Oryzias latipes: one gene and its partners. The protein of the gene in region 4 interacts with the protein of the main gene of each other region in a biochemical or structural test. Links are inferred from orthologs where the notes say so. Each region holds a gene or a part of one and is shown on either strand. Other genes may lie near its edges. The genes, in order: tyrosine-protein phosphatase non-receptor type 12, ptpn1, crkl and bcar1.

Region 1 (6,070 bases), on a different chromosome or scaffold from region 4:
TTGAAAGTCTGTTTTTGAGTAAAATTGATGGCCTAGACAACAAAAATAAGAAGCTGCTCTACATTCTGCTGGCAGCCAGTAAGAAAGCAATAACCAGAAAATGGCTTAAACCTGAACAGCCAACGACAGAAGACTGGATTGATGTTGTACAAAGAATTTATATAATGGAAAGAATCTCACACTCTTTACAAATACGGCTGGATGTTTTTTACGCTAATTGGTCTATATGGACAGAATATGTTAAGCCTGTAAGATCAGATTTCATCTGAAATCATGTCATATCATTTATGTTTTGAAACTCCTTGCTTCCTCACATCTTCCTTTTTTATTTATTATTATTTTGTTTTTTTGTTTTTCAATTAAAAAACTGAGAAAGCATGAACATTGTAACACGTCAAAACAATGTACAATTTATCCTGTGCTTTTTCAATAAAAAATAAATTTGAAAAAAAGAAGAAGAGGGTAAATATAATTTCATTTGTAAAAAATGGCAGTGAAATTTTGGCCCTCCCTTCCCTACAAAGAGGTCAGAGGTCAGGGTCAGAAGGAGTGCAGGGTAACTAGAACCAGTGCTGAGAAGAGGAAATGACAGAGAGATGGATGTTAGGTTTACTTAAAATAATATTCTGCGTACAGTTTCTAGATTGGTTACAAGTGCACATGTAGAGTGGATGGGAAAACATTGGTATGGGGTCATTTAACGGTTAGAAGGAGCAGTTTTCCCCATCAAAGTCCTGGAGAACTCACAGATTATGCAATATATCTTACTACCTGTTTTATAACTGTGATCTGATAAATTAGAGGATTTGGGCTCAAACACAGACATTTTTACTTAACCCTTGTGCTATCCTAGGATCATGTAAGCCATGGAAACCAGTGAAGATCACGAATCATTGAAGAAAAAAGTTCAGCGCACTGTCTTGCGGGGTCTAGATGACCCAACTCCCAATGTTAAAGTGCCTAGGATAGCACAAGGGTTACATATTGTGTTTTAACCGTTGTGCTATCTTAGATGACCGCACCCTTACATTTACGTGTTCTTCCTACCATGACAAAGGTGGATAAAGGTGGAAAGATTTCATGTAATCCATGGACACCAGTGAAGATCACAAATCATTGAAGAAAAAAGGTTCAGCGCACTGTCTAGTGGGTCTAGATGACCCAACTCCCAATGCTAAAGTGCCTAGGATACCACAAGGGTTACATAAAGTTTCTGTTTGGCAAACTGTTTGTTTTCATATGTAATAATGAATAACTTGAATAGTACTCAGCTTAAAGAGAAAATAAAGATTTGTAAAAAAAAAGAATAACATGTTTCATGCCACAACTCCTTTCAATGATATGCATTCAAATGTGCAAAACATATGTTATATTTTTATTTTACTAGAATTATAGAATAACACTTATTGTAAGCGTTTCTGGAAAAGTATGCATATTTCTTTGTCTGCCTTATACACTCATTTGCCACAACTTAATGGGCCATTCTACCCTGAAGCAAAGTATGTTCTTTGTTAGATGAATGGGGGATTCAACTTTTACAGAATAGGTTCTCAGTTCATAAAATGATAAAGTCATGTGTTTCGCATGGGAGATCATTTTAATATGATCCAACGTTTTCCCCCTAAAAAGTAAAGGGTAGATTTTCAACTGAAATTCAAATTTACTGTGTTTTTCTTTCAAAAGGGAACAGTTTTTTGTAGTGAATCAGTTTGCTTTCATACTAACAGTATACAAATTAACATATCTAATATATTTTTGTCTTGGATTTAATTTGTACAAAAAATGAAATCAAACCCATTCAAAAACAGTTGAATAGATTGACTTTTGACAGTTTACACACATGATAAGAATAGAGCAAAATAAAAAGAAGCATGGAAAAAGACTAGAGATGGAAAAAAATAATATGGTTTAAAGGCAAGAGCAAAAACAAGCAGCTTTTGTAATTTAAAATGCTCGTGGCTCTGGGACAATGTCCTTCTCTTTTACTCAACCCTCGTCTTTTTGGTAGAACTAGAGGAAACAAAGCAAGTCAATTCTCCTTCTTCATTTGTGTGACTGGCAAAGGAGAATTCATCAGGAGTGAGTATCTTTTCATATCCTGTCCTCTGACTCTTTCCATAAAGTGATCAGTTCTTTTTTTTAGGCATAGGCTATCACAGACTAAATCAAAATTTGAGTGTCCCAATGGTAAAAAGAAAATATGTGCTTAAATACAGAATGCTTTGATAGTATATTATATTATTATTATTATCCTGCTGTTTTTTTCAAGTAAAGTTAGAACAATGTTTTTTTTTTAACGTTTTTTTGTTGTATTTTCTTTTAAATCAGAGAGGGATCTTGTTGATGTGAAACATCGTCTGTTTCCATTTTCGGCAGCCTCTAATCCAGATTATTGTTTGGATCCGTCATTCTGACTGTTTTTCTTCTTTACTCTGGTCCTCAATATTATCCTCATCACTTATTACTTCTTGAAAAACTGATCATCGCTATAAATTGTGTGTTTTTTTATTTTTCTATCCATTTCGTTTGAACATCTGATCCATGATATTCTCACGATGACTCTGCTATGGGAATTAAAATGACCGACACATGGGATGTCCAATCACAGCTGGGTATTTGGTGTGACTACACCCAGTTTAACCAATGACATTCCAGTTCTAAATTACCTTGTGACCAATCGGATCCCTCCTTTTTCGTGAAAGGGGAGGGTCTACATCTTGTTGGCTTTGCCCAGTCCGGATGTTCCCCAGTAGCGGACTAACGAGCAGCACTGTGTGAATGTGGCAATCGAGGTAGGCAGGGAGGGGTAGATTTTATGACCACACCGGTCAATTGCCCCCCCTTGCCCTCTCTCCAATATATATATACATATTTTTTTCATGTCTTAACATAGTGTTTTCTTTTTTAAATCACGCCACGGCGGTGTTTGGACAGCAGGAAAGCCGGCGACGGCTTTATTTTTGGGACTAACGGCTGTCGTAAAAACAGTCAAGAAGAAAGAAGGAAAGGAGGAAACAACATGGGGCGATAATACGAAAATGTGTTGACCGACGATGACTCCGTGGGAAGACCCGTGAAGCTTATTTATTTTTATTTATTCCCCCTTTCCCCCCTCATTTGTTCTCTTTACATACAAAAAAAACATATCTACCCCCCTTGCTAGTTTGGGGATTTTTGAAAACGCTACAAGAGGATTGAAGGATGGAGCAAGCCGGCATCCTGAGAAAGTTTATCCAAGGGGTGAAGGCCATGAGTGAAGGGGACAAGGAGAGGGGAGAGGACAACTTTGGTAGTGACTTTATGGTGAGTAAATCTGCTGGACTCTAACCTATCCTTCTCTCTCCCTCTCTTTGTTTTTTTTTAATCTAATTGGAAGTCGTCCCCATGTTTATACTTAGTCTCCACCTTTTCCCCCTTTTCGCCGACTCTCCCTCCATACCATCACCCTTCCCGTTTCTTGGTTCCTGCATCCCCCCAGGAGGAGGTGAGGTAGGGGCGGCCACACTGCCTGCCCTCTTCCTTTTCCTCTCATTTCCAGGCTTTATATGGCGGCCTAGCATTGTGTCCCGACGCACAGACACACCGCCGACTTCTGTTCTTTAAGAATTGGAATAGGGGGAATTAGCTCAACGCGTCGGTTCAAAGCCCCCTTGCTTGTGTTTTGGTGGCGCTAAGGCGGCTTATTGTGGGCTGGAGCAGATAGTCGCTTCCTCCGCTGTTAATCATGCCTGATTGTTGGCAGACAGTGCACTAGTGCTTCATTGTCCTCTCTTGTACGTTATAGATGTGGTCCACAACTATAACCATTGAATGCAGTGACAAGAAATTGCTACTAGCATATCAGCTATGCATTTTTTAGGGTCACAGTTTGCTATAAAAAATAGAAAAGTCTAAATATTACAACTTAAAAATGTCATCAGAAATACTTAAAGCAGCATTAAAGATCATTATAAAACAAAATGACTCTGTAAACTTACAAAATGTATTGACCTGCTTGGTTTTTTGCTTATATCTATTTAACATACTTGAAAATATTATAAATGAAGGTTTGTTTACCAAATTAGAAAGCTGGTTGGAGTTTAGCTTTTTGATGGCTGCAAATCGGTAGTTCAAAGAATGTTCTTGGTATATAAAAGAAAAAAAAGAAAAAAAAGAGGGATGTCGAAATTTTGGAATCTAAATGAAGCTTCTTCCACTCCCTGACTTGTGAAATGACTTTCTGTAATAACATTTAGCATGAGGTGGACCTTTTAGGGCAAAGTTTAGGCTAAAATAAGTCGAGAAACTCTTCTATGACCAATTATTTCAATATATCCGTCATTGCATTGTTCCAACTATAGATAGAAGATGCTGTTACTCTTTTACGTTTTGTTTAAATATTGAGTTTGTTGTCTCCAAGAAAGAGGTTAATCAGCATCAGCTAACTTTTGCCCCCTCTGTCTACACTTGCAGAAACGCACACACACACGCACACACCTTACTTCCATGCTTCATGCAAGCAGCTTGCTGTAGCTTGCAACATTCTTTCTTGGCCTATTACAAAACATTTTGTCCTGGCTTTAAAAGTGGAGCTTTGTCAACAAATCTCACACTTTGAATCACTGCTTTAAGGAAGACAGAACCATAATTAAATAAATAAAAAATTAAAAAATATAAAAATGCTATCTTAGTCTTGTTTTGTTGCTGTTGCGTTCATTAGTTGGTCTGTGCTTTGAGGATTCTGTAAACAAGGGGCTGATAGGTGTTGCGCAAAGCAGACTGAACTGTCTGTGCAAGACATTCAGGAAGTTATGGAAGAAAGTGTTTTAAAAAAAAAGAGCTATAATTTGATTATGTTTTTAATTTTGTTCTTCCACCTTGCAGAGACTTTTAGTGTATTTTGGTTGTAAAATATGTACAGTAATAAACTTCTACTGTGACACACATTTCATGCTTATCCTCATGCTGCCTCACAACTTCCATATTGTTACTGCCTGTTTCACTGCTTTGGAAGCTAACACATGAAGCATGTGAGGATCCATTCTTTACCAATTGGTGAAGCCTAAACGTTTTCATGTATATAGGGTGGGCTTTTCTGAACAGTGCCTCACCAGAGCGCCCTGACATAACTGTACTCTAACCGCCTATTGTTGTTTATATATAGAACGTGTTATATAGACATAATTGCAGGTTGCGTTAGGGCAAAGAGTCAAGATTATACACTTTGTTCAGCAGCCGTTTTAAGCAATTTGATGGAGCAGAATTGCTTTAGATGTTTTTTTATAATCCAGTGTTGAAATCTAAGAAGTGTCCTGTGGAGTTAAGTTATTGTCTTGTCAAGTCTGTTCCTATATGCGACCGTATAACCCATTTAATTGCTGGAGTTGTCTTTTTGCAGGGAGGTTTCTATTTCTGTGGTGTTCGGAAAGAAATAAATTACATAGAAAATACCTAAGGGTGAGGACAGAGGAAACAGGATTTTTTTTTTTTTTAATTGTTAAATTTTAGATCATTGTTATACTTTTAGTGAATTTCTTCTATTTTGTATTAGAGATAAGAAGAAAACTCCAAAAAACAAATTTAGTCTGTGAATTCACCCACAAAATTAAGGTTGAAGTTAACATAATTCAAGTTTTAATTCCATGGAAACATTTTTAAACCAACTTTAAAATGTTGTGGTTTATTTCAGAAACTTTTAATTGTGTAAAAAGCAGTTTGTGTATCGGTAAGTCTCTCCCATGACACAGCTCCCGCAAAATTGCTACATCTGGATGGATGCTGCTTCTGCAAAACCAAACCTTGAAAATCATACTTGTTTCACAAGAGAGCTTATCAGCTGGTCCAGTCAAGCTGCAACTTTTCCACCCAGCTATTAGTGCATGTGTTAATAAACATGGACAGTTTTGCACTGATGGCACGTTCATGGATACACGTTGAGACAAAGATGTTGGTTATTGTTTCTTGATGGAGGAAAAAGGGCAAAAATAGAGCTGATAAAGCTATATTAGTCACCAGGTGACAGTAAAGTAGATTAAGACGTCATGGTATAAACAAAAATTAAAAAGAAAAATTTACTTCAAAGCCAAATATA
Region 2 (5,412 bases), on a different chromosome or scaffold from region 4:
GGAGTTAGAAAACCTGTCGGTAAGTTTTCTGCCTCGGTTTATTGCCCATTCATAAAACACATATGGTTGCACAACTTATATTGACTGCAAAAAAAACCATTTTCTCTCTTAAAAATAGGATTTTTGGTTAAACCTCTGTAATTTTCAGTGAATTTCCCGATAAAAATGTTATTGTGAACTATCGTTATTGCTCCCTAAAGGAAAGTTTGTGCTAGCTTTCTATATTATTGTCATTTGGGAGTTAAGATGTAATAAAGGAGATTGATAAGTTTACAAGAACTGCATGTCAATCACAGTTTAAAGACCCACTCCGATGAAAATTGTGCTTCTGCTGTTTGTTTTTTTTGAACATGTGCTTGTGGCATTTACCGGCATTTGTTACGTAGAAAACAAAAGCTTCCTGCTCCGCTGCATTCTGGTGCATCCACTTCAGACAAATGGATGCATGTACGTCTTTGTTTTCCTCGTCTCAGCTGGCATCTGGATCAAAACTCTACGGCTGGATAGCCCAGATATTCCTCGCCATTTTTGTTGCACCGGTAATGTTAGGTTGGGGTTGTGAGGGGCTGTAAGCTAGTTGGAGAGTGTAAACCGATAGGTTACAGGATTTAGGGAAGGGATTGCTCCGTGCTCTGCAAAAACTATGTTCTAGAAAATTTGATTCAATTTATTGATTTATTTCAAGCATTGTAGTCAAAGCAATAAAGAATTTACACATCTTATCAAACTCATGACAGAAATGTTGAAATGCATAGATTAATAAGACAGAAAATAAAACAAAAAGTCACATAAATCACATTTGCTTAATTAAATACAGTGATCATTAACTAAAGTCACGTAGAGCTTGATTTATTGCTTGAAAGGGAGCGGGAAGAAGCAAATTTATATAATCCCACCCCTGCTGAGTTAATTCATTTGATAGTTTTACATAGTTTTGGTAATTTGGTTCTGATTCGATACATTCTTTTTGAGTAAAAAGATCCTGTGCCTATTAATGATTTATCTTCAGAAAACATTTACCGGTATTCATGACTTTAGTAAACAGTTAACGGTAACATTATGTAATAATCATTGATTATTAGAACACAATATCACATTAAACCAGTAATTATTGCTACACATTCAGATCAAGTAAAGAAAATCAATAGCTTATTGATTGTAATTTAAACATTTCAGTGATCATTATTGCACATTACAATGTAATAATCATTGATTGTAATTAAAAGAGCTTTGATTATTTCACCACAATCAAGTTCAAACATTTATTTGGAATTATTCAAACACCTGTTGATCCTTAACTCTTCTTATCTTTATATCGTGAAATCAGAGTTTCTTTATACCTTTTCTTGAATATTTGAATATTTTTTTAGCTCATTACTAAACCCGTTCCAAAATTTAGTGCCACACACCGACACAGAGAAACATTTCTTTGTGATTCTTATCAATTTGATCTTGAAGTTCCTACATCCCCTCAGTCTGTAGCCTCCTTCATTTTCTAAAAACTGTTTTTGGATATTGAATGGTAACGATTTACCACTGACTCGTATAAAGGTTGCGCACTGTAAAAATCCACAAGGTCATACAGTTTTCAAAGTCTGGATTCATAAAATAAATTGTATGATCAAGATAGCCAGCTTTATGACGGCTCGTTTTTGAAGTAAAAGATGTAGTGAGCTCTTGTAATCATTCCCCAGATTTCTATACAGTAGGTGAAATATGGCAATATTAAACAGTACAATACATATCTTCAGTTTTATTGTAAAATGTATTTGGATTTACTTATAACTGAAATACTTTGTGAGACTTTAGTTTGTATGTGTCTGATGTGCAGCTTCCAACTTAGTTTGTCATCGATAACAAGCCCTAAGAACTTGTAACATCTGTAACACTTTCAATTAGGGCATTATTTATTTATTTCAACTGAGAGCTCGGTACTGGCGTTGTAGTTACCAAAAACATCACTTTGGTTTTATCTAGGTTCCAAGATAATTTGTTGTAATCCATCCATGATTTTATTTTGGTTAACTCTGTGTTTACCACATGTTCCCTATGATTGTCTGTAGAATAGAATATGTTTGTGTCATCAGCCAATAATGAGTTTCATAAGCTTTGAAACATTGAATATATCCTTTATGTATATATTGAATTGCAGCGGGCCCAGAATTGATCTTTGTGGGACACCTCAACTTATCTCAAAATGACACATGTTTTTTTGATATTGGGTCAAATGGCATATTGATAATTAAAAGACCACTGGGAACGTTTTTAAAATAGGTCAAACGATGATCTGAGTGAGACAAAATACAAAATATCTTCACTGTATTTTTTTATGCAACTGTGACCATAAAACGGAGAAATGTAATGTTTTTTTTGTGACTTTCATCTAAACTTAAATTTTAGCTTTGATGCTTTTGATTGTTGCATTTGTCTATAGTTACACAATCCCTGCTTTTGTTCGGCTGCCTAACACATCCCGCTGCTCCTCCTCCCGCAGACTCAGGAGACGCGGGAGATTCTACATTTTCACTACACCACCTGGCCAGACTTTGGGGTACCAGAATCTCCCGCCTCTTTCTTAAACTTCCTGTTCAAGGTGAGGGAGTCCGGCTGTCTGAATTCCGACCAGGGACCAGTGGTGGTGCACTGCAGCGCTGGCATTGGGCGCTCTGGGACCTTCTGTCTCGTGGACACCTGCCTCTTGTTGGTTTGTACCCAAACTTCATTTGTGATTGACATTGTTCAGGACGTTTTGAGAATTAAGAAGCTGAAGCGTGACTATAAAGATGTGGAACATGGAGGCTGACGTCCTGCATGCCTTTGCTGTTCAGATGTCTCTTCGTAAGGACCCATCCTCTGTGCGTATTCGCGACGTGCTGCTCGAGATGCGTCGCTATCGAATGGGCTTGATACAAACTGCAGATCAGCTTCGCTTTTCTTACCTGGCTGTAATAGAAGGTGCCAAGTACATCAAAGGGGATGTATCTCTGCAGGTAACTTCTTGTCGTCCTCTCCCCTGCTCAGATGTTTGCAGGCTGTTGTCAGATGCACGTCGATAACTTCAAGCATCTTGCTTTTAAGGAGTCGTGGAAAGAGCTCTCAAATGAGGAAGACGACCCTCCAGAGTTCACACCTCCCCCTCCTCTTCCTCCTCCGAGGGACCCTTACAACGGGAAAACCGGGAGGTCCTTTTTCCCTGAACATGTAGAGATCATCCCTGAGATGAGGATTCCCACTCTTGGGTAATATTTTCAACCATGTTCTGATTCTGTGAACAAAGGTTGACTTCCATGGCTGCTTTTTATTGAACAGAAATGCATTTCAATAGTGAGGTTTACTTTGAATGAGGGCTTGATACTCAAAAAGGAAGAAAACAAAACATCCTTACATCCGTCATCACAGACCTGAGCTTGTCCCCCCCCCTCAATTTAACCCTTAATGTCCATTGATAAAGTGATGGAGAAGCTGCAGACAAGATGGTGCCTGACATCATCATCCGGAAGCAGAAATTATACAACTAACCCTAACCCAAAAGTGTTTAGAGTTGGAAAAAGTAAACTTTTATTAAAGCTTAAAACAGGAAAAATGGTAACTCTTGGCGCCGCCAGTAAAATAGTTTTCTTCGAGCGATATGGGGAGACTTCTGGTTGAGGAGTTCCGGTTTTGGCAGTTGATGTCTGCAGCTAGGTCCTCTTGCACTGATGATGTTGAGAGCTTACCTTTATTTTGGAGCTGCCACTGGATGACGGCCGCTTCCAGCTGGATTTGTTTTTGATGACTTGCTGTCCCACAACAGTCCGAAGAAGGCAAAAATCTAAAATAAGAATGAAATTTGAGGATGTTTTTACTACAGTCTCGATACAAATAAAAAAAAAACATAAAGTTCAGGAGCAGCTCAACAATCAACTCCTTCCAATTTATTTGTTTGGAGGATAAGCCCCTTGAGATGTGTCATCTCGTTTTCAAGGGGGTCCTCAACATACAACAAAACAAGCAAATGCCGACAGATACAGTTGAGCAAACTTTACATATGTCAAAACAGAGAAAAACTTAAAATTTCCAAAACAACGAGCAGACACACACACATACCCACACACACACAAACATTGACATTTAATGCTCCTACTAGCAGTTAGTTTAAGGTAAGGAAACAAAAATAATAAATAAAAAGCAGAAAAGAAATCACTCCTCCATGTTGGTTTTGGACTCCAGCCGCTGTTCACATCATGAAGTCGTCACTGCCAAAGCTTCAAAATGCACCGCAGGACTTCCTATCACATCAGCACAATAACTTATCCCTGAAAGGCCCCTGCCACACAAATCTCGTTTTAGAGCTGATCGCCCTTGTCAAACCTGAAAGTCCTCATTAGGTTGTTGTAGAAGCTGTGGAACTGTAGGGCAGCTCTGGCAGAAGAAGCAGTGATGCAGAACCTCCCATCAGTGCAGCGTGACTGAAAGGAGCTGGAGCCTGTGAGGGATCTTTGCTAGAATGACGGCATGCCGATCCTTCAGCCGTCAGCTGCAAACTGCTTGCTGCACGTCATTTCGCATGTTGTAGCTTGCAGTTTGCTCAAGCAGGAGTTAATTTTGTTTTTTCAAACTGTCAATATCAAATATGCATTGATGTGCGACTTCTATTACTTCAACAGTGACGCATTTTGTAAAAAAAACAAACAAACATGAAGATCTTTTCAGGATAAGACAGTGATCCAACAGTCATGCTTTGGAATATTTGAACCTCAGACTCTGTTTCAGTATTTTGAGGTCATTTGTATTTGGAGAGCAACCAGATTCTCCTTCATGTTGGTTTTTTGACTCTACTCGCTGATCGCATCATCAACGCCTCACAGCCAAAGCTGAGTCGCTGATTGGTTGACGCAAAGCAAATTCTTCACCAAAGTTCAAGTTCTCGTCTGTACGTTGACTTAATATTAAAACTGCGCACATCGCGTTCAGTGTGAACGCAGCTTTAGTCACATGCACCCAAACAGGGGTCCTTACGTTGTTGGTAAGGTGCGAGCACTGGCTCCTTACTGACCACTGAATGCTGCACGCATTGGATGAGCAGGTGACGCGCAAGTGCCTGTGGGTCGGACGTCCACACAAACAACACTCTGTTTGATTTCCACATTTCTAACAGCCAGGCTGCTCACAGAGGCTTTACAAACCTGTACGGGGCATGCAGGAGGGCTGCACAAATGTTGTACAGGCCACCTGCATGCCCCGTACAGGTTTGCCCATTTTTCACCAGGAGACAGCCCGCATTTACCCGTAAGGAGGTCAGCAGAGGGAAGTGTGAAGCACTCTTGGACTGAGTAAAGCACAGCAAACCAACAGCAGAGGTTCTTGAAAACCTCTTGATCCATATTTCTCAAATAAAACAACTTTTAGTCATAATATACTGGAATGCACATA
Region 3 (5,412 bases), on a different chromosome or scaffold from region 4:
TTTCTACTGTAAACTGGGGCTTCCTTTGCCCCAACTGTGACATTTTTGCCCTATTTTCTTACCTTGTTGGGGGAGGGGATGTTTTCGTCACCCCCTGGCTTGTCTATTTTATCAGCATTGGTAATACATGATCTTGAATGAAGTTTTTAAGTCCTGTGTCTTAATGAAGGCAATTAATTATGAGCTAAAGGTTTGGGTTAAGTTTATTAGCTACAGTTGTGAGTTTTATCAGTTTGGGTTTTAGCAACAACAACAAAAAGATAGTGTTTCAAAAAACTAGGCTGCTTTACATTTAGATTTTTCTAAGGAACTTTATTGAAATGACAATGCAAAATAGAATAGTAATGAAACTAAATCTCCACTGATGTTTTTAAATGTTGCCGTTTTGACTATTTTTTCCTCAGATGGTTAACACATGAAACTTGTGTGTGTAGAATATACCTTAAATCTGTCGCCATCTCTTTGGAAGTGGGTCACATGTGCTGACCCAACCCCTTTTATTCACTCTGCTGTATACAAACTCTCCAGCCTCTGTTATTTTTGCCTTAAGCTGCACAGCAGCTAACGAGAATCCGAACATGAAGCTTTTCTGTGTTTTCCTTTCAGTTTGACTCATTTATCTCCTACTTGTTTAGTTCTGACAGCACATACCTTATTCTGTTGCATCATGTCTTTCCTCCCATCAGCCTCTGTTTTGGGAAGAAGTCATAGCTCGCAGCCTAATAACATTTTTTTTTGTGTCATTATTGTCTTGTTGCTCACGTTAGGGGAAACTGCACAAAGCATGTAGAACTGAACTTCGTTTCTTTGAAGTAAGATGATTGGATGGATTTTTTTGTTTGGTTTTTGTCGTTTGATGCCACGGACATGTGACATGCTTTTAACCCACGGCATTCACACTTGACAAGCAGGGAGGGGCTACTTTTTCAACTGTTTACTAGCACTTATCCGCAACCTAAAGTTGGAAGAGGTTTGTTGGGCATGAACAGTTTGGCACTTCCTTGACTTAAACGGGACGCCATCCAATACGTCACTGCCAAATCCGAATCCCTGATTGGCCGAAGTTCGACGTTGTTTTACCTTCAATGGCCGCCCGCACGTATGTGGAGCCTGAAAGCGGTCTCAAAAATATTGCGTAGCTATGCGTGATTTTTGCTCACGGAAGCCCAGATGTGGATTTACGCACATTTCCATTGACTTTTCATTGGATGAGGCCACTTGAATGTTTGTTGCAGAGGGCAGTGTGAGCGTAGCTTGACAGTTTTTCAGGCTAAAGCTTTAGTTTCATTCTTCTTATTCCAGCTTTATGTCTTTGTTGTTAACCTGTCCTTTTATTTCTATGCTCCTATGTTCATAATTTGGACTGTGGGACCGGGTGTAGCTAAATGATGCTAAAGCTAAAGAGGGGATGTGTTCAAACTTTCAGTTTCCCTTTAATGTTGTCACCAGGGCTGCATGTTGTGAGAAAAATGAACACAATAAAGCTCCATTCGATTGGTCAACGGTCTCCCTGTGCCTGTCCCCAGCCCAGATAAAATACAGGGTTGTGTCTGGAAGGGCAAACTCTTTGACAAACCACCTGTGCTAAGTAGAGAAAACTGATTGGCTGTGGCCACCCCCTAAAGCTAGAGCTGTGACGGTTTGGGATTTTTGATCACCGCGGTGATGAGCAGCACGAGTCATGGTGTTGGGACTCTTGCCCCCCCAAAAAACACAAAATCCTCTGGCGGGCGGCCGCGTCGCACACTCAAGAATGCAAGTTGTAATGGAAATGAATACAATGGAAATTCCCCCAGAAGACCTTGAAGTTTGAACACAGAACTCGCAGAAAAAGTTAATAATTAGCAAAGATGAATGTGTGAATGTGTTTATCATAGTTCAAATCACGCACCATATGCAGAACTTTCAAAAAAGAATTTAAAAAAGAGGAACGTGCAGTGATGAGTCATCAACGCAGCGATCATCTCATCACCGCGGTGATACGGTTACCGTCACACCCAAAACTAAAGCACATGTGTCAAACTCAAGGCCTGGGGGCCAAATGTGGCCCTCCATGTCATTTTATGTGGCCCGCGAGAGCATAAAAGTTTTTAATTTCGTAGAATAATAAATAGAAATTGGAGTGCATTTATTCATATCTAGGGGGAATTGAACTTGAAATATCAGATTGGGTAACTATACATTAAGGCTTAAACACTGTCCATATAACCTAACCTGACAGAATCAAATGTAAAAGGATTTATGTTAGAGTAACAAGCAAACATGTTTTCTATGCAACTGTAATTGTCACTTTAAAAAGTTATAATAAACAAATGAGTCATTTGACATTAAGTTACATTACATTTAGTTACATGTATAAGTCATATCTGGCCCTTTGAGGACAGCCACTCTGCTGACGTGGCCCTCGGTGAAAATGAGTTTGGACCCCCCCCCCCGGTTTAAAGGAATATGTCTAAAGATCAACGCCGTGCGGGTTCATCCGATTGGTCAAATGGGATTTATTTGATTTGTTAGAAACTTCAAGCTGCCATGAGATTGTCTTGCATGTATGTAAACATTTAAAGTAACAATTTCTTGCTGGTTATGCTGTCTTTTGGGATATCGGCTGATAACACTTTTAAAGCGCTTCTTTTGTACTTATGTCATGTGATCAAGCCCAACTGAGGTGGACGTGGAGGTCTTGCAGCGTAGTCATTGGTTGCTTCTCTCTCCTCACAGGTCGGCGACATGGTCAAAGTTCTACGGATGAACATCAGCGGTCAGTGGGAGGGCGAGGTGAACGGACGCAGGGGGCACTTTCCCTTCACTCATGTCAAAATCGTAGACCCGCTGAACCCGGACGAGGGGGACTGACGCGACCCTGGATGCCCCACCTGTCCCGCCAGCGTCACAGTAACGAGCTTGTCTGCTTGATGTGGGGCGGGGGGTTAGCCAGCTGTCACCGGGCTTTTAAAGAGTTTACAGCTGTGGTCTCAAATGTGACCCTCCTTCCTCAGCTCCCGTTTTCAGGTTTTAGTTCCAGGCTGGGCAGTTTATCTCCTCCTCTTCATCAGTCTCTTTTTATTTCCACATGACAGTGCATCAGACTGAAAGTTGTATGGAAACGTCCATGTGTAGTTTTTAACAATTTAGACCATGCTTTTGAAAAATCAAGATATGGAAAATAATCTGGATTTGGTAGGAAACAAAATCGATGAGGAACAAGCCAGCCATTATTTCTCCAATCCTTCTAGTCGCCGTTGAAGCGGAGCCATCCGCAGACACGCACACATCATTGGTCGGATTCTTCCAATGGTTTCTGCCTCCACCTTCCTGATGGGGCGTGGCACGGCCGGGGTGGCGGTTCATCTGATCGGTGCCATAAGATCAACCTCTTCCTCTTCGTCTGTTGGAGGGCGGACTCTGAATTCTGTCGGTACCGATGGCGTCTGATGATTTTTCTTTCTTTTTTTCCTTCTTCTTTACCGATAAAGCTTAAAGGTTATAAAGTTCTTCGTGCTAACGGCTTTCAGCTCTAAAAGACTTTGAACACGCCGCATAGGAGTGCCAATTTGAATAAGATTTCAAATAGCAATGTATTTGCCAAAAACATCTGACTACTATCGAAACAAAAGATATGGTTTAGCGTTTCATCTTGACTTTAAGTGTTAACCTCTTTAAACATTTGGTCCGGTTTTATTTACGTCCAAAAAACCATGAAAACTCCTAATTCTGCCATAATGCCCCCTTCCTCCTCCTCCTCCTTAGCCGTTCACTCAAGTTGTGCAGCTTAAGTTGTTTTTCTTTTCTGTTTCATGTGTTTTTTTTTTGTCCTGCTTTTAAGTGGATTATTTCAAAATGACTATTGTTAAAAATCAAAAAGGACATTAAAAAAATCAAATAAAGGGAATTCCAAATGCCTGCTGGTTGCCTCTGTGCATGACCTCTTGGCCGGGGAGTTGGTCAAATGCTGCTTTTTAAAATTTATCTCTTCATTAAATAAAAGATTTATCTTTTTTTTTTCATCCTAGCTGGGTTCTGTTTGTCAGGATTTAATGAATTCTAATTAAGCAATACAACTTAGTTTTTATTTTTATTTCCATATTTCTGGTCTTGCTTCTGATTTTTTGTTTTGTTTTGTATTGGCATTAACAGTATTACTGTTCTTCTATTTTAGGAAAACCTGTCTTGTACTTCAGAATTGAAAATTGTGCCTTTTTAATTTCTTACACTATGTAACATGTGTTAATATTTCCCATGGTTCTTACCTCTGCCGGTATTGACCCTGTATGTACAGAGCAAGTAAATAAAATTTACGTCTACTTCTTTAAACCGCGTTCCTCGTCTGTCCGCGGGGCAGGAGGAGGGGGCGGGGCCCGTTTGTGGAGCGCGCCGCGGGGCGGCCCCTCTGTTTTCCGACAGCTCCACTTCTGGAGTCTGCTGCGCCCAGGAGAAGGGAAGCAATTAATGCATTTTAATGAAGTGCTAAGAAAAGAACGTCAGCTGACCCCGAAGAGATGCGGAACAGAAAAACTTTTGAAGGGCAGTTTCCGTGTGTTCAGCACTTTTCAGCTAATTCTATTCCTCTTGGACTATTTAAAACTATGTATAAATTAAAGTGATTCCTTCCTCCTCCCTCTGTTATGACTGCCTTTCTACAGGAACATTGATTTGTTGTGACACATTTTTAGGAACTTTTCTGCTATTCCTGGCAACCAGAACACAAAGTTTCTCATCTTGGTGTCATTATTTGAGACCTAAAGGACCAATTCAAAAACATCATCAAATGCCGGCAGTCTGCAAACAATCCAATAAACAGTTTCACGCTCCGCTCCTCCCCTCATGTATCAGTATTGTAGATTAGCATTCCCTCACCAGCTTTAGCCAGAACCAGGTCAAAGGAAAAGGGGTCGACCTGGACCGAAGACGGCCACGTAAACAACTTTGGGATGGAAAAAAAAGGAGGGAACAGGTGATGGAATCTGAATACAAGTAGGTGGGATTTCATTTGACTTGGCCTGCGTTTATGTGATGAGGCTGAGTGAGGCCAATAATCCATACATCCTGGGTTAAATTGTCCTTCTAGCTAATCGATGTATTCCTGTAGATGGCGGGTGATTGTAACTCCAGTGCAAATAACTGTAATGAATCAAACTTAGTGGAGTCTGACCTCTCCTTAGGGCACACGCCGTGTGTGTGTGTGTGTGTGTAAATGGATGTGTGGCATGGTCGATGAAGGCATTCCTGCAGTCCATTACCAAGCCTGCCCTGCAGCCTGCTTTAATGGCAGCTAACATGTAGTGGTGAAAGCACTGCACATTGTTGTTTTGCTCAAAGGATCTCAGGAAGAGACTATTACTCATCATTGTGGTGATTTCATAGAATATTTTTAACCAGCCAGTGGTTGATGCATTTTTGATCATGTACATATTT
Region 4 (5,412 bases):
AGACGAGCTTTAGCTGGTATTTTTGTTAGAACTGAGAGACTTTACGAGCTAAATCGGGACAAGGAAGTGAAGACTTTAAGCACTTCTGAGCTTCCTTGTTTTGTTCACTTGTTCCACGGTCTGACATCGGATTCTGTGGGAAGCTACACCGATAAAGACGAGCTTTAGCTGGTATTTTTGTAAGAACTGAGCGACTTTACGAGCTAAATCGGGACAAGGAAGTGAAGACTTTAAGCACTTCTGATTGGTCAGACTGATGACATGTGATTAAGCTCCCCAAGAATGATTGGTGGAGACAGTTAAAGGGGCGGGACTTTTCCAAAATACAGCCGGAGCTGCAGCTGAATCGCGGTACGTCATTCTTATCAAAATGTCTTTAATAAAATAAAATAAACGCAAAGAAAAAGTATTTTACGATCTTTTATATTCCTAACTCCTCAGTGTTTTATCAGGGCCTGTTTGGATGAACACAGAGCTGAAATCCTGGAGATGGGAAATGTTTAATTTTTCAGTTAATGAGGGCAATTTCCCATGGCACACTTGACCATCTCCCACGGCACACTAGTGTGCCGCGGCACACTGGTTAAAAAACACTGGTCTAGATGACCCAACTCCCAATGTTAAAGTGCCTAGGATAGCATAAGGGTTAAAGATGCTGATGGGGTCAATAATCATTGATCATCTCAGAATGTTAAGAAGTGACCAGAACAAAACCATGCTGTGAGCACATGAGAACATGGAAAGGTCAGAGTTATTTCCTGCAGGTTCAGATTCTCAACAGATCTTCTAATGCTCCAATGTTTTGATTTTTTATGTAAACCTTACCTATAACATTAACTGCAATGAAAGCTACAGACACAACTTTAAATGTGAAGGGAAGTCCTCTTTATGCAGGGTACCTTTCCAAACAATTCTAGCAAAGCAGGCCTCCTTTGGTAGAAGCTTAGAACATTTCTAAACTTGGTCTTAAAGGAGGGTCCAGCATGATTCAACAAAAGTGGAATTCAGATGTGGGCACACACACAGAGGGCAAATCCTTCCAGGTGATTCCAGGACCGAAGCGTCATGCCGCGTGAGCTCAGCCAGTGAATCATCCTCACTGCACTTCCTGTTTTTTGAAGTGAAGAGGAGGACTTTGGCACAAGCTCGCTCAGACGCTGTTTGTAGAAAGCTAGCCCTCTGGTTTAGTCTGTCTAATTTGAAAAACATTCCTTCTCAAGAACTCTGCAACCACCTTGTTAGTTTGAGGGTCAGAGTCCCGCTGTGGCTGTTTGTCTTTTCTCCCATTCACCACTAAAGTCCTGAACAGGCATTAGGAGCTTTCAGCCACACATTTGGAGGCCTGCTCCTTGGCCTCCTTTGCGGCGCAGCGTTTTATGCAACGGGTGTCTGTGAGAGGAGCTGGCTGGCGGCCAGTACAGCCTGTACCAGTCGCTGATAAGTGGGGTGGGACTCTGACACAGAGAGGGAGGGCCGAGGTCAGACGTGAACTGCAAATATTAGCTCCCTTTCAAAGAAGCTGGAGGTGTCTCTGTTTGCTCTCCTGTGTGGACATGAATCCACTGTAAAGAAGAGGAAGCCTCAGTATGGTTCAGCGTGTGCTCAGTCTTCCATCATGTGTGGAAATCAAAGTTCTAAGATGTGGAGAAATCCAGCTGAGGCTTCTGATAAAACATGAATAGGTGCTAGTGGAATTATTAACCTGCTCGGCCTGATCAAACACTTGCAGCAGATCCGTGTCCTTGTACTCTGTCCTCTCATTGGCTGCTTGCTTATCCACTCGGGATGAGGCTGATTTGAAAAATGATTCATAATGTGGTGAAGTGACACGCCGCCTATGGCAGCTGTGTGCGTCTGTGACACTCTGTGAAGCCAGTATGTGCTGAGGCCCTTCAGAGTAAGTTTGGAGTCTTCATCAGTCATAGTGGACCAAAGGATGTCAGACAGTCTTTAATTCCAACACTGTGTTTTTATAAAAGTGTTTCACTACTGCTTCTATGCAATGCAATAATTATGTTAGAACACAGCAACAGTTAACGATCAAAGGCCACACAGCCGATAAAGAAATCAAAATAAATCAAAAATGAAGAAAAAGATCAGATCTGTCCTTCCGTGAGGGATGGTGACCATGAAGGAAATAAACGTGAATTTATACAGAATAATAGAACATGAAGTAAACTGCTTCAAACTTTAGCATGTTGTAGAAAAACCAGCAGAGACAAATGGATCTGTCAGGTTACAACTGAAACCGTGGATTTAAATATTGAGGGGAATTAACTGAACTGATGGAGCTGCACACAATTAAGTTTAAACCTGGAGGAAAACAAATGACAAATGAGCTCAAAGCATGACTGAAGACAGGACAACTGGACCAAAAAAGGCACCAGTCTTCTCACAGTGTTTCTCCTTTTCCACTCAAATATATAAAAATCTGATGAGTCTTTGGGGGGGCTTCCTGAGTCTGTTGTTGGAGCAGTTCAGAGCCTACGATGCGTAGTGATCCGTCTTTAAACCCGTGTGGTTTTAAATCGCATTCATTCTTCCTGACACTAAAGACACTAAACCCCATTGGCTGTGTAGAGTCGCCGGTACATGCTGTGTGTGTCCATGAAAAGATGGCTTTGTGTGAATGCATGAGTGTGTGTGTCACTGTGGTGTAAAGCATGTTAGTTGTTGCTATCCATTTTTTGTTGTTAATCATAATGGGTTTCTTTTTACCAACTGCAGTCCTTTGACCAGCCTTTTGAAGTGAACTTTGGTTAGATCATTCAAAGCCATTGTTTGATGGTAAGCTGTGGGCAGGTGACTTGTTGGTTAAGCACTAAAGAAGAGTCTGTTTGTCTTTCTCTCACAGAACGTTTTGGCCAAGGCCTTGTACGACAATGTGGCCGAGTCTCCGGACGAGCTGTCCTTCCGCAAAGGCGACATCATGACAGTGCTGGAGCGAGACACTCAGGGGCTGGATGGTTGGTGGCTCTGCTCTCTCCATGGACGCCAAGGCATCGTCCCTGGAAATCGCCTCAAGATCCTTGTTGGCATGTATGACAATAAGCAGCAGCAGGCCTCTCCTTCCACTCCAGATCCCACCTCTCAGGTACTGCGACCTTTTCCCACTAAGAGCGCCTATCCCAAACCATCTCTTAAACCACCTGCGGCATCTGTGGGGTTTGCAACCAAGTCCATTCCAACGGTCCAGTACACATCCATGCACCCAGCCTACTCCACTCCCAGTCCTGCACAGTCCAGCCCTGACTCTGTTTACATGATGCCTCCCTCTCATGGTCCAAAGCCAAGCTCCCAAGGTGTGTATCAGGTTCCTTCTGGTCCAAGCGGACCCTCTCCCCAGGCCCAACCAGGACCCCCCAGTAAGACAACGCCTGTAGGCCACAGGCAGTTTCAGGCGCCTGGACAGGATATCTACCAGGTTCCCCCATCTGTTGGCCCAGGGCCAGGCCAAGGAACTGCTCCACCTGCAGGTGGACAGGATGTGTACCAAGTACCCCCCTCCTTGGAGAAAAGAAACTGGGACGGCAGCAACAAACCCATTGGCAAGGTAAGAAAAAGTAGAGAAGGAAGGAAATCAGGAAATGAGGTGGAAAGTTTGAGCTGAAGTTTTATTTCCATGAAAGAGCTCAAAGGAAAACAGAGAGGTGGCACTTTAGAGCCAAACGTTTGATAACGCTGTTCCCAACTCGGCTTCTGGGTGTTTTTCAGGCAGGCATGCACACTTCCGGACATTGTTGGTTTGTGTGTTTCTTTCTGCAGAGCAAAAACTGGTAGTTCTTGTTAAACAAAAAAAATGTCTCTTATTAGGTACAGGTCATTACAATGGGCCTGCATTATCTCAACTGGATTGTACAGGCAGTCCATGACTGGGAGTAAAAGTCACATAGAAAGAACTGTGTTGTATGCCCCAGAATACAAAACTGACCTGCGTTTTCCATTCTGCGGGAGAAAACCAGCGTGAGCTGCCGTCTTGGACAGCTGTTTATCCCTTCATGACAGCGTGCACGTCATCACGTAAAACTGAAAACTGTCACAAGACATTGTCTTGTGTGTCAAAAAGACAAAAAAGCTCCACGTGACTGAAATGTTGAAGCAGATCGGACAGACTTTCAGTCAGAAAGCTTCATATTTGCCAGTGCTATAAACATGTCCACAGGCTCCAACAGTCAACATCCCTCTTTGGTTTTAATCCCATCACATAAAGATGCAGAGCTAGCTGCAGGTTTTTCTGAGATTCTGCAGGTCGAGGACCATTGGTCGTTCCACACGGTTTCTGGAAGTTCAGGGGGAAGGGGACAAACACTGGTGTCATTATGTGCGTGGAGGTGAGGTTAAGTCTGCAAGCGTGCGGGGGGGGGGGGGGGGGGGGTAAACCGCAGCCTGCTGGAGAATCCTAGGATTGTTAATAATTCAGTTGCAATGTCAGGGTTGGATGGATGTGTGCATGTCACCATGCCAGCTGGAGATGGGTTGTGTGTCCATGGTTGCTCATGTGTGTTAAAATGTGTGTGTGTTCGTGTGTTTGTGGTGAATAAAATATTTTGTTGTGGGTCTTTGCAGTTTGTTAAGCTTGTGCTATCCTATGACCCCACCCTTACATTAATGTGTTATTCCTACCATGACAAAGGTGGATAAAGGTGGAAAGATTTCATGTAATCCATGGACACCAGTAACGATCACAAATCATTGAAGAAAAAAGGTTCAGAGCACTGTCTAGTGGGTCTAGATGACCCAACTCCCAATGTTAAAGTGCCTAGGATAGCACAAGTTTGGCAAACCAAACCACGAGGAATCATCTTGGTGAGTCTTCCTGTTTTCCAAAAGCTAATAGAAAAAAACAGAATGAAAAGAAGCAGCTTAGCTGCAGGTGTGTGTGTTGTGTCCTGCACCTCTCTAAAGAAAGCTGCAGGCTCATTTCTTTTTGCACAGAAGCTTGCGGTTCAGATCGTATTTTGTTTTTCAGAAAAGATGCACACTCAGCATGCTGAGTACCAGCTACAATCCCTATTTTTGATAGCAAACTGGAACGGACTGGAGAAATGTGTCGTCAGGCACCCAACTGTAAACTAAGCTCCTCTGCAGTATCTGCAGCCACTCTGTCTTCACTAGTCGTCTTTTCATTTAGACGGCTCCATACCTGCAGGGAATGATCTGCCAAAGACTCTCTGCTGCCAGTCTCTGCTTTTCTTCTGTCAGATAATGATCATGTTGGTTTCTGCTAACTCCCACGCTCAAAACATCAATTACAACAGTGCAACTGTTGTGTGTCAGCTTGCGAAAATGCACAAACACGTTTAAAACATTTCAGAAAGGATTTGATCATGTAAACAAGTTGCAGTAATGGACTAATGGTAACCCGAAAACTGCCTCAGATTTACCATTCAGCAGCTCCTGAAGACATTCTGT

The links.
Region 1: the proteins of bcar1 (region 4) and tyrosine-protein phosphatase non-receptor type 12 form a complex in vitro, tested with the Homo sapiens proteins (3 studies listed by BioGRID and IntAct, with this or other methods). The link is inferred for Oryzias latipes from reciprocal best matches to the Homo sapiens genes BCAR1 and PTPN12.
Region 2: the proteins of bcar1 (region 4) and ptpn1 form a complex in vitro, tested with the Homo sapiens proteins (3 studies listed by BioGRID and IntAct, with this or other methods). The link is inferred for Oryzias latipes from reciprocal best matches to the Homo sapiens genes BCAR1 and PTPN1.
Region 3: the proteins of bcar1 (region 4) and crkl interact in a test that uses a peptide from one of them, tested with the Homo sapiens proteins (2 studies listed by BioGRID, with this or other methods). The link is inferred for Oryzias latipes from reciprocal best matches to the Homo sapiens genes BCAR1 and CRKL.

Annotation. Positions count from the first base shown.
Region 1 is NC_019881.2:13,834,146-13,840,215, forward strand, and holds the start of tyrosine-protein phosphatase non-receptor type 12, read left to right. Parts: upstream 1-2,730; 5' UTR 2,731-3,201; coding exon 3,202-3,303; intron 3,304-4,056; exon of another isoform or gene 4,057-4,125; intron 4,126-6,070. UniProt on the Homo sapiens protein: Dephosphorylates a range of proteins, and thereby regulates cellular signaling cascades. Dephosphorylates cellular tyrosine kinases, such as ERBB2 and PTK2B/PYK2, and thereby regulates signaling via ERBB2 and PTK2B/PYK2.
Region 2 is NC_019865.2:21,848,279-21,853,690, forward strand, and holds part of ptpn1 (tyrosine-protein phosphatase non-receptor type 1), read left to right. Parts: coding exon 1-19; intron 20-2,494; coding exon 2,495-2,704; intron 2,705-2,828; coding exon 2,829-2,990; intron 2,991-3,078; coding exon 3,079-3,239; intron 3,240-5,412. UniProt on the Homo sapiens protein: Tyrosine-protein phosphatase which acts as a regulator of endoplasmic reticulum unfolded protein response. Mediates dephosphorylation of EIF2AK3/PERK; inactivating the protein kinase activity of EIF2AK3/PERK.
Region 3 is NC_019870.2:17,508,526-17,513,937, forward strand, and holds the end of crkl (crk-like protein), read left to right. Parts: intron 1-2,718; coding exon 2,719-2,853; 3' UTR 2,854-4,311; downstream 4,312-5,412. UniProt on the Homo sapiens protein: May mediate the transduction of intracellular signals.
Region 4 is NC_019864.2:4,918,978-4,924,389, forward strand, and holds part of bcar1 (breast cancer anti-estrogen resistance protein 1), read left to right. Parts: intron 1-2,854; coding exon 2,855-3,553; intron 3,554-5,412. UniProt on the Homo sapiens protein: Docking protein which plays a central coordinating role for tyrosine kinase-based signaling related to cell adhesion. Implicated in induction of cell migration and cell branching. Involved in the BCAR3-mediated inhibition of TGFB signaling.